Arabidopsis thaliana: one gene and its partner. The protein of the gene in region 1 purifies or fractionates together with the protein of each later gene. This does not show direct contact. Each region holds a gene or a part of one and is shown on either strand. Other genes may lie near its edges.

What was found.
Region 2: the proteins of AT3G22520 (region 1) and AT2G01710 fractionate together in Arabidopsis thaliana (co-fractionation; one large-scale study listed by BioGRID). This does not show direct contact.

Annotation. Positions count from the first base shown.
Region 1 is NC_003074.8:7,972,998-7,979,431, reverse strand, and holds AT3G22520 (spindle assembly abnormal protein), read right to left. Parts: upstream 4,713-6,434; 5' UTR 4,609-4,712; intron 4,470-4,608; 5' UTR 4,449-4,469; coding exon 4,390-4,448; intron 3,856-4,389; coding exon 3,311-3,855; intron 3,225-3,310; coding exon 2,026-3,224; 3' UTR 1,659-2,025; coding exon of another isoform or gene 1,062-1,658; 3' UTR 784-1,061; downstream 1-783. Other genes in the region: AT3G22530 (heat shock protein), read left to right, coding at 1,062-1,658; AT3G22510 (Pre-rRNA-processing protein TSR2, conserved region), read right to left, coding at 5,345-5,398, 5,482-5,570, 5,657-5,888.
Region 2 is NC_003071.7:313,622-317,493, reverse strand, and holds AT2G01710 (Chaperone DnaJ-domain superfamily protein), read right to left. Parts: upstream 1,847-3,872; 5' UTR 1,791-1,846; coding exon 723-1,790; 3' UTR 501-722; downstream 1-500. Other genes in the region: AT2G01720 (Ribophorin I), read left to right, coding at 176-301.

The DNA of each region.
Region 1 (6,434 bases):
TTTGAAATTTGAAATATTAATTTTCTATATAGATGTTTTTTATATTTGAGAAATTATTTTTAGTTTTCAATTTTTCTGTATTCTAAATATAAAAAATACAATAGAAAAGACTTATGCAAATTATTTTCAATTTTCAGTTTTTCAGTTTTTATCTATTCCAAAAATACAATTGCAAAGACTTATGTGAATTCTAGAGAGATCTATAATTTTTCAAATATAGAAGATGTCTTTATATATATAATTAAATATTTGAAATTTAAAATATATTAAGGTAAGTTTATTTAATATTTTTAGTTTTTTTTTTAATTTTGTTATTTTTAATTTATTGCATATATTTTTAATTAATAGTATATTATATTTGTTAGTATATGTATGCAATGTTTGTTATTATTGTAAATTATTGTCGTAACTCAGCGGTATATTGCCCCATATGAGTCCAGTAGGTCATATGTTCGAGTCTTTGTGGACGCAGATTTTGCATCATTATTTTCTAATGAAACGACGTCGTTTTGGAGATCTAAAAACGACGTCGTTTCGATTTAACAGAATTTTTTAATAGAAAATTAACGCTGTTAACGGAAATTTAACGACGTGCCCAAAATGGTCAAGTCAACGAAACTTGACATTTTTTTAAAAAAGTCAAACGAAACTTTGTGAATTAAATGACATTTCGAAAGTTCATGCTTTTTTCGTCCCAAATTTGAAAGTTCGCGCTTTTTTTGACATTTTCCCCGAAATAAATCGCATAATCCAACTTTGAAATTAAAACTGAAGATGTAACAAAATACAATTAAAAAGAGGGGTAGTTTGGTAAATTTTCAAATGCCCTTATCTCATTTCCGATCCTCCTTCTTCTTGCTACCGCCTTCGCACCCATTCATAAAAAAGGAAAGACGCAATCTTTTCTTGTCTCTTCCATTGCTTCAAATCCTCCTAATAAAGCTTTCCTCTTTCACTTTCTAATCTCTTTAATCCGTTTAAATCCAATCCCAAATACAGATTTTGATTACAAAAATCTAACATTTTGCTGATTTGTGTTTTAGGGTTCTCTCGTGTTTTTTATGATTTTGATTCCCGTAAAGATTCAATCACTTTTCTCATATCTCTTGTTACTGAATTTGATCCAATCGATCGATAAACCAAACCCAGAAGCTATGAGAGTGCACCCAATTCCCAGAAACATCAACAACACATTGATCCATCATCATCATCATAACCCGACCCGAGAACCCGGAAAGAATCTCCGACGATTACCACATATCTTCAACCGTGTTCTGGAGCTACCATTGAGGTCAGAAGCAGATGTAGCAGTGGAAGAGAGACACGACTGTTTTCGATTTGTGGCGGAGACGGTAGGTCTCTGTAACGGCGATGGAGAAATGAGGGCTTATATGGTTGAGATTCATCCTGGTATAACCAAGATCGTTGTGAGGACAAATGGGTCTTCTTCTCTTGGTTTGTCTTTAGACGAATTAGAGCTTGACGTGTGGCGTTTTAGGTTACCGGAATCAACTAGGCCTGAGCTTGTTACTGTTGCTTGTGTTGATGGTGATTTGATTGTTACTGTGCCTAAGAATGCTGAAGAAGAAGATGATGATGGTGGTGGTGGTGATTTTGGACAAGGTATTGGTAGTGGAAGGCTTGTGCTTGTTCAGTGAATCAAAGTAATGTCCTCTATGTAACATGAGAAGAAGACTAATCTCTAATCTTCTTCGTTTCGTTGATATTGTGTAGCCTTCTGTTTTTGTTGTTGGCAATAAAAGAAAAGATTGAATCTTTGATGATCTCTTATTTTGTAAGATCAACAAGGGTTGTTTAAGGTTGTATCAAACAAGATAACGAAAGCACAAAAAGGTCTAATTCTTTTCATCAACTAACGGATAGTTTCCATAGTACAACATTACATGAAATAGACAAAAGGCCAAGTCTAAAATAGGTTTCAAGACTCTTGCAACATAAACCAAAAAGCTACATGACACAACAAGACTAGCTAAAGGTTATCGGGGATACATGAGGAGGCTAGATTTAGAGGAAGAAGCCTTTGAGAGGAGTGAATTTAGAGAGGATCTCTGCTTCACGTTTAAGCGCATTGTCTTTCTTGCATTCCCATTCAGGCTTCTTCAAATTAGCTGATTGAACTTCCTGTACGACTTTCGGGATTGAGTTCGCTACCATTTTTTGACCATAGCTTAGATCAACCCTCTCTTTCTCCTTGGTCCCGATGTACCGCTTCAATTCAGACCGTCTGGCTTGAAGTTGAGCGATTTGGTCATCGATTTGACGGATTGTCTCAGAGTTTGTGTCTACTTCCATTTGGATACTTCCTAGTTTTTCCTTCAGGTCGCTGTATTCGTATTTAAGCGATGCTACCTTGGCTTTGTTGAGTTCCAGAGCAGAGAAGAACCTATCTGCTTCTTCAATCACCCCTTTGTTCTCTTGGAACACTTCGCTGAAGGTCGGAATCTCTTCCATCAGCTTCAACCTAACTATCTCTTCAGCAGTAAGGTTTGGATCTTTCCTTAGTTTAGTTGCTAATGCTGCTATCTCTGCTGCGTCCTTGGAGAGGAACAAAGTAGTAAAATCCTTCTCCAGGAGAGATGAGATCTTCATTCGGGCTTCAGCCCATTCGTATTCTCTCATTGGAGAGCTTACACTAACAAGAACAGACGAGTCTCGCCCAACCTCTTCTGGAGGTTGCTGCATCAAGTTATCAAGAGAGTTCAGATAGCTATCAAACTCTTCCGGGTTAACATCGATAGGCGAGTGTGAGACAGCGAGGACCCCATTCATAGGAGAGACATAAATATGGGGAATAGAAACATCTTCTTCCTCATAGTTAACTCCACGCTTCTTTCTCTTGTTACTAGTCTTTGGTGCAGTAGCAGGTTCACTCTCCTCCTCATTCAGGAAGTTCAAGTCCACAGCACCACCGCGCTGCTGGATCGAGGTACGTCTTCCTGATTGTCGAGATGGTTTTGGTTTGGTAGAGGATTGAGGTCCAGTAGCCGGAGTTGTGGCTCCTTTCTTCTTCTTGTTGCTGCTACCTCGGGGAGTTGATTTTGGTTTCGCTTCAACAGGTTCATAAGTTTGTGGCGTCGGCATTGGCTTTCTCTTCCTTTGGCTGTATCGAGAATTTCCTTTCCCATCCTGAGCATTCTCATCATTCTGGCCAACCTCAGTCTGTACTTCCTTCGGTGTCTCCTCAAAAAGAGACGCAGCATCAACTACAAAAGAGTAATGATATCACTGATTACGTTCATCTATGAACATCTGCAAAATCTTAACCTCTCTTGGAAAGCTATAAAATCACCTTTATTTGCAGGCTGGAAGAGAGCTGGAACCTTCCAGCTAAAAGAAGCAAAGAATGCATCAGCATCCATGCCAGGGAAATCCGATTCGAGATAACGAGCAAGTTGGGGTTTGCTTGCGAAAGACTTTGGGACATGCTTTTGCTGAAGCCTTTGAGGGAGAATAAGAAACCTATCCTGATGATACCCCATAGCAGTCACTCTCCTCCCAACTCTCCAAGTCCATACATCACCAGGGCTTGGCCAATCAACAGGGGCATACGGCAAACCTTGACCAGTTGAAACCGGAGGAATCGCAGGAAGTTGATTGAGATCAGTTTCCCCATGAGTGAAAGCGCTGTTGTCTACACTTCTCTTTCCATTTTCCTTTGCCTGAGAAGGCTCTGGATCTTCAATGGCCTCTTCCCTACTGAAACCGTTTTCCCAAAAGTCATCGTTCTCTTGCTGAGTGGCGTCGAGATGATCTGAATCATTTTCTCGGTAAGTTGAAAGCGGGACAGGTTCATTGTCTCGGTAAGTACTGATTGGGACTGGTTCCGTATCAAACCTGCATGCAAATCAACACTAGAGAAGATGAAAGAGAAGTGTGATAAACAAAACAAACAACAAACACAAATCATTTGCCTTCTCCGTAGCACCATTAAAACATGTAGACAAACAATGTATTATACACTTCATTATACCGTAGTGTTGAAACAAGCATACTCAGGCATAATGAATAACAAAATATGGAGACTTCAAACCCTAAAGACACATCCTTTATGGTAGCAGCAATTAGAATAAGAACCCTAACTTTTGCTCAACGTAAGTTTCACACAATTCCCAAAGACAAAAATGTTCCTCTAAACAATTTAATCTTCTCTCATCTAAACTCAAGAACTTTTTGTGCTTAGGTCAGAATTTTGAACAGATATCAGCTAAACACTAATTTGGTCTCATTTCCGGACATAAACCCATCAAAAGGTCTAAGTTGTTCAAGAAATCAAAGCAAAGATTCAGACACAGGATAACCAAAACAAACCAGAGACAAAACAAGTTTTTGTTCACATTTATAACATAGTTATCAGAAAAGAAGAATTACCCAGGAGGATTTTGAACAATCTCTTGCATATCTATCGGAGAATAGATAGGAGCAGACATGACCACTCAAAACCTAATTTCCTGCAGAAGAGAAACACCCATTTAAGCAAAATTGAGAAAATGGAGAATTCGGAATGCAAAATTATCGGTAGAAACGTAAAAAGCTATGAACTTTATGTGGTAAAGAAGCAGTACGAACAATTTTGAAAGCAGATCTAACCTTTTTGCACTCTCGCTTCTGCTTCTTCTACTTTTTATTTTCTGACTCTGTAGATGTGGTTTAGTTCCTCCTCTAGCTGAGATCAAGATGAAACACGAATAAACGAGGAATCGCTTGAAATTGACTATTGTGCCCTTATGTTGGACAATCCCTTTTTGGAGGGTTTTTTTTTTTTTTTTTTGGTTTTCATGTAAATGACTTGTTGTACGGTAAGTCTTTTTGTCTTTAATGACCGATTTTACCGTAATCGCACTCACGTAAATTAGTCTTTCATTTGCACCATTTCTACTTTGACCAATTTATAGCCTAGTGGTTCATACTAATGATGTTATTGCCATCTCTCTAGTTTTTATTTGCATATTACACACATGATTTGACCATAATAAAATTGTCAAGAATCCAAATTACATGGAGTTTTTGCTTCAATATGAATTTTGTTGCATTATATTGGAAAATTTAGATATATATTTTCTACGTGGTATCGGTCACTCGGTCCATATTCCCCACATTAATCATGATGGAGTGTCTTACTGGTTAATTTGAAATTACATTAGGAAAAACTGTTCATCACAACTACAAAATGATTACATCAAATAAACATAGATTTTGATACGTATTCCTATATTCTATGATTTCTGATGAATAATATTTTGTTGTCCACCCAATTTTCAATTCTTTGTATCTTACATTGATCTAATTATACACCAAAAATGATATAAATCGTTCAAGCTACTGCTTAAAGAGTCCCACGTAAATGTTCTTCATGGAGTATCATCAATTGTTCAGCTACCTGACGAAATCACACGATGAAAGATTAGTCGACATAATTCACAAGTAAATTGATCGTCTACATTTTCAAGAAATAGTACGTACCTCTTCAATGCTGCCATCTTCAATCTCTGTGTTGAAAGAAAGAAGCAAGCTTTCATGTAGCAAATTCTCTATTTCTTCCACCGTAATCACTGCTCATATCATAATGTTGGAATCAAACTATCAATATATTCATGATCATAACATAAAATCTAAAGAAGTAAAAAGAAAATCGAACCATTTGATTGAGAGATGAGATGAAAAAGATTGTGAGCTAGCTCTTGAGATTTCTTGAGAGAATCATGGCCTCCCCACTGGTTCTTTACGGCCATTTGAAGCCCGCCCCACCGTGAAAGAAGCTCTCCGATGTCTCTTTGAAGAACAGAGTCGTCATCCATAGGAGGCACGTGCTTGTGATGCCACGTGGGAGAGACCACGTGAGCGTTGGACGTTATTCCACCAGTTCCCATATCTTTGGTCTTTCAGGCCGAAGGCAAAGGTTCTTCCGCTTTGTAACTCCGTTGAACAAAACGGAGAAACAGAAGCTGGAAGATTTTGTGTATGGGAACACAGAGAACAAAAATAAACGATTGTGTTTTCTGTTGTATACTCTGTTTTCTAACATGAAATAAGAGAAGAGAAAGATAATTAAGGCAACGAAAAACAAGGATCTAGAGAGATCCGAAGAGTTAGGGGAAGTTTATGAGTTTTGTTAGACCGACAAAGATTTGTTATTTGACTTCCGACATATTGGTGACCTTTGTTTCCAACATTTGACTTTTCTGTTATGTTTGTCTTAAAATTGAAACGTGTCTACAAGAACAAAAACAAATATTGAAACAAACGTGTCCAATGTTATACGACTCATATGTGGTAACGTTGGAAACATGTCCTTTTTCATTCACTCTTAAAACTAAATGACAAATTTACAAAAAGAAAAGTAAAATCCCTATCTCAATCTAAGCTTTATCTTTTTAGCTACAAACTCGCAAACTGACACGAGTGTCCTAGTCACC
Region 2 (3,872 bases), on another chromosome or scaffold:
CTAGCAATTTCCACAGACTTAACTATATCACCATAATGAGCCAATTCCTTTCTTTCTGCTATGTGTAGTAGTATTAGAAGAACCCTAAAAATCTGAGTGTATTAGTGTTATTAGCAATAGGCTCATTTTGTTCCATAAGTTACAAAATTGCTTAACATGTGTGACGATTTTGCAGGTGTACTATACATTCAAACCAATATACATGCTAGCGGAACCATTCATGCTTGTATCGGCTTTCTTCTTAGTATTTGTGGCTTCGCTTGCGTATGTACACATCGATCTCAATATCGTCAGGAAGTAGAAGTCTTATCAACAGTCCTTCGCTTTCACTTATAGACTCGTAAAAGAAAATACTTTTGATCATCACTTGAAGAACTAAACTTTGTAGGTGTTGCTGCTTTTAGTAGAGTTATATCTTTGACACTACTTTGCTCTCCAATCTTGATTTTTCCTCAATTTTATTTACAGAGAATCTAAAGTGTTTAATCCATCCAACAAGTGAAGTGGAAAAGAGCGAATTGCCAAATTATGTAATGAGGAAAATGTTTCAAAGTAAATCAAGATAACACAATTACACAACGGTAATAACAACAAATGCATAATAAAGTTTACACTAAGACAACAAACGCTGATCCTAAACTTCCTTGCCTTAAAAAAAACTTGCCTTTAAAATTTTGTCTCCATAATTTTAACAATCATGACCGGAGTTTGAAAAGAGATCACTAAACCGGATTCTTCTTCGGCCTTCCTCTTCCTCTCTTCTTCGGTGTTCCATCTGAATTAACTCCAACACCATTATTACTCCTCACAGCCTCATTATCTCTCTTCGCCGCACCACCTGACCATCCATCAAAACTAACACCATTACCACTTGGAGGAGCTGCAACGCCGCCGGATGAGAAAACCGGAGGCATCCAATTAGGGAACTTAGCTGCATCTACTCCATTAGCAATGGCAGCTTCTCCTCCTTTACCACCAACAAACCCCATCGGAAAAAAACCCCAACAACAATAATACTCATCTTTACCAGGTATCAACGGAGGCAACTGAGGAATACTCGCAGCGTGAAACGCTCTTTGACAGTTTTGACATCTAATACAATACTCTTGATAAACCCTAGGATACTCATGAAGACTGTAACAGTACGGACACGCCGTCCAAAACGTAGACATCTTCTCATTCGTTGTTGTTTTCTTCTTCGATTTCTGAGTGTTGAGATTTACTTTAGTGAAGATGAGATTCAAATCTCCATCGAATTGAGATTTCTTCGTAGGTGTTGATAGAACTTCCCATGCATCAAGCACGAATCTGAAAGCTTGATCGGCGAAAGGGAAACGGTTTTTGTCAGGGTGGAGAAGAAGAGCAAGACGACGGTATTGTTTCTTGATTAGATCGTTGTCTGTTGATGATTCAGTTAGATCTTCGATCTGAAGGATTTTGTACCAGTTTGGTTGGTTTTTGATACGATTCTCTGGTGCTGATGAGAGTAAGACATCGACGACGGCGAGGATTTGATCGGTGCCTTCGAGGAGTGGCTCTGTCTCTTGAGCTAAGATTGCAAACTCTTTTGAACCGTTTAGATCTCGTGACTCGAGAAGCTTCTCCGCGATTCCGAGAAGACGTTCTGCTTCTGATCGGTTAGGGTTGTTGTCTCCCATCTTTCTTCTTCCGTCGGCGATGGCGGAGAAATGGTGAGCAGATCTAAATATTATCGCCTCGACAAGAGACGATGAAACAAGGCTCTGATTGGCTGTGTGTAAAAATGGTCGGGGGAAAAAAAATAGTAACATTGGAGTAAACGGAAACTAAAACTTTATTTGTTACCAAATTTATTTAGTAATAAAATCATTTCTTCATTTTTATGTTATTATTTTTCACAATTTTATTTTATGTTATTATTTTTCACCCTTTTATAATGTTACCTACTTACAATTCGTTTCCTATTTCGCCATATTTATAATATTGCAAATAAAATCCAGCTTTGTGTCACCAGTTACAAAAATAATATGATTATATACTTTATTGGTTTTATTAACACTACATTAAAAAGGTAAATAAAAGGAAAAATTACTATAGTATATTGGAAATAAAGTCGGTATTTGACTCACTAGAGAGTTATAATTTATAAATGAGACATAATTATTGTTTATTCATCTTATTCAGACAACATAACTAAAAAATATATGGTCAAGATAATATTAAATGTTTTAAGAATGAAAATTTTCTAGAGCTAAGAATATCGGAAATAAAGTTAGACGTATTATGTTTAACAGAAAAAGAGGCAGAATTATGGCAGTTAGCTCAATTTGAGCTCAATACCAAAAATAACGGTTCCATGGGATCGAAAAAACAAATTCGGGTTCAGAATATATCACACGATAATATTTATTCTGGTTTGCGTTGTTTTGTGGACGGATCTTGGAAAGGAAGCGATAAGTTTTCTGGATTAGGGTGGTTTTGCAGATCATCAAATGGAGACTCGCCAACCATGGGAGCTGCTAATCTTCGTAGAAGTCTTTATCCACTCCATACAGAAGTCGAAGCACTACTTTGGTCGATGAAGTGTATGATTGGTGCCGACAACCAAGAAGTAGCATTTTTTACAGACTATTCAGACTTGGTGAAGATGGTGTCTTCTCCAACCGAATGACCAGCGTTTTCAACTTATTTGGAGGAACTAAAGACCGATATAAGGAGGAATTCACAAAGTTTTCTTTATCTTTAATTTCTCGAACTGCAAATGTAAAGGCGGACAAATTGGCACGAAAAATTCATATTGAACCGCTTCATGTCACTTTTATAAATAATTTTCCTCACAATTGGCTCTTTTGAGCTCTAAATAAAATCTGTTGACAAAAAAAAAAAAAAAATCAGAAATAAAGTTCATCTATGACTACCTACCAAAACAAAAGTTCATCTTTGATTCACTCACAAAATAATACAAATAAAACATGAAAATTATAAAAACATTTAATATTATCTCTTACCATAATTTATTTATTTGTTGTACATAGTACAAATAAAATGGAAATAATAATTATTTTTTATTTGTAACGTTTGCCGGCCGAATAAAATATTAAATTTATTTGCAATACTACTCACAACAAACTTTACAAATAAAACATGATTATCGTTTTTTCTTTTCGTTCATTCAAACTATAAACAAAAGCAATGAAAGCATGATAAGAAATGATATTAAATGTTTAAAAAATAAAATTTGATATAACTATATTATTGGAAACAAAGTCCATATTTAAGTCACCTATAAAAAAGCATGATATGAAATAATAATAAATGTTTAAAATAATAATATAATATCTAATGGTATTTGAAATAATGTATGTGTTTGAAGATGTTATAAAAATGTTAAAAATAAAAATATAATTATCAATATTGATAATAATATTCATATTGATATGAAGAAATGATATTATTTCCAACTACAATTTATTTACTTTTCAATGTGATGTGAATAAATAAAGAATAATCATGTTTTAGCTAATGTTTCAAAATAGAAAAATTAATATAACCAAATACTGTAACCTAAAATTGTAAAAAATACCACTCTAGTAAATACCAATATTACCCCGGTTAGCTGCTACTAACATTAAGGGTGAAGTTGTCATTTGATACAGTGATCACGCACTTTTCACTTGTCTTCTTTATTAGTTTTTTTTCCTTGTTTTTTAAAGACATCACTTGTGACCAAAAAACAAATCCACTAAGAAAGAAAAACAAATTAATAAAAAAAAAAGATCAGAAATTAGTTTGTGCAGAAATCGAATTGGAGAAACCGAGTAACTATGGTAGCCACAGATGAGTTCATCGTTTTTGACCAGATCTGATTGTTTTCGTCTTTGCCGTTGAAATAA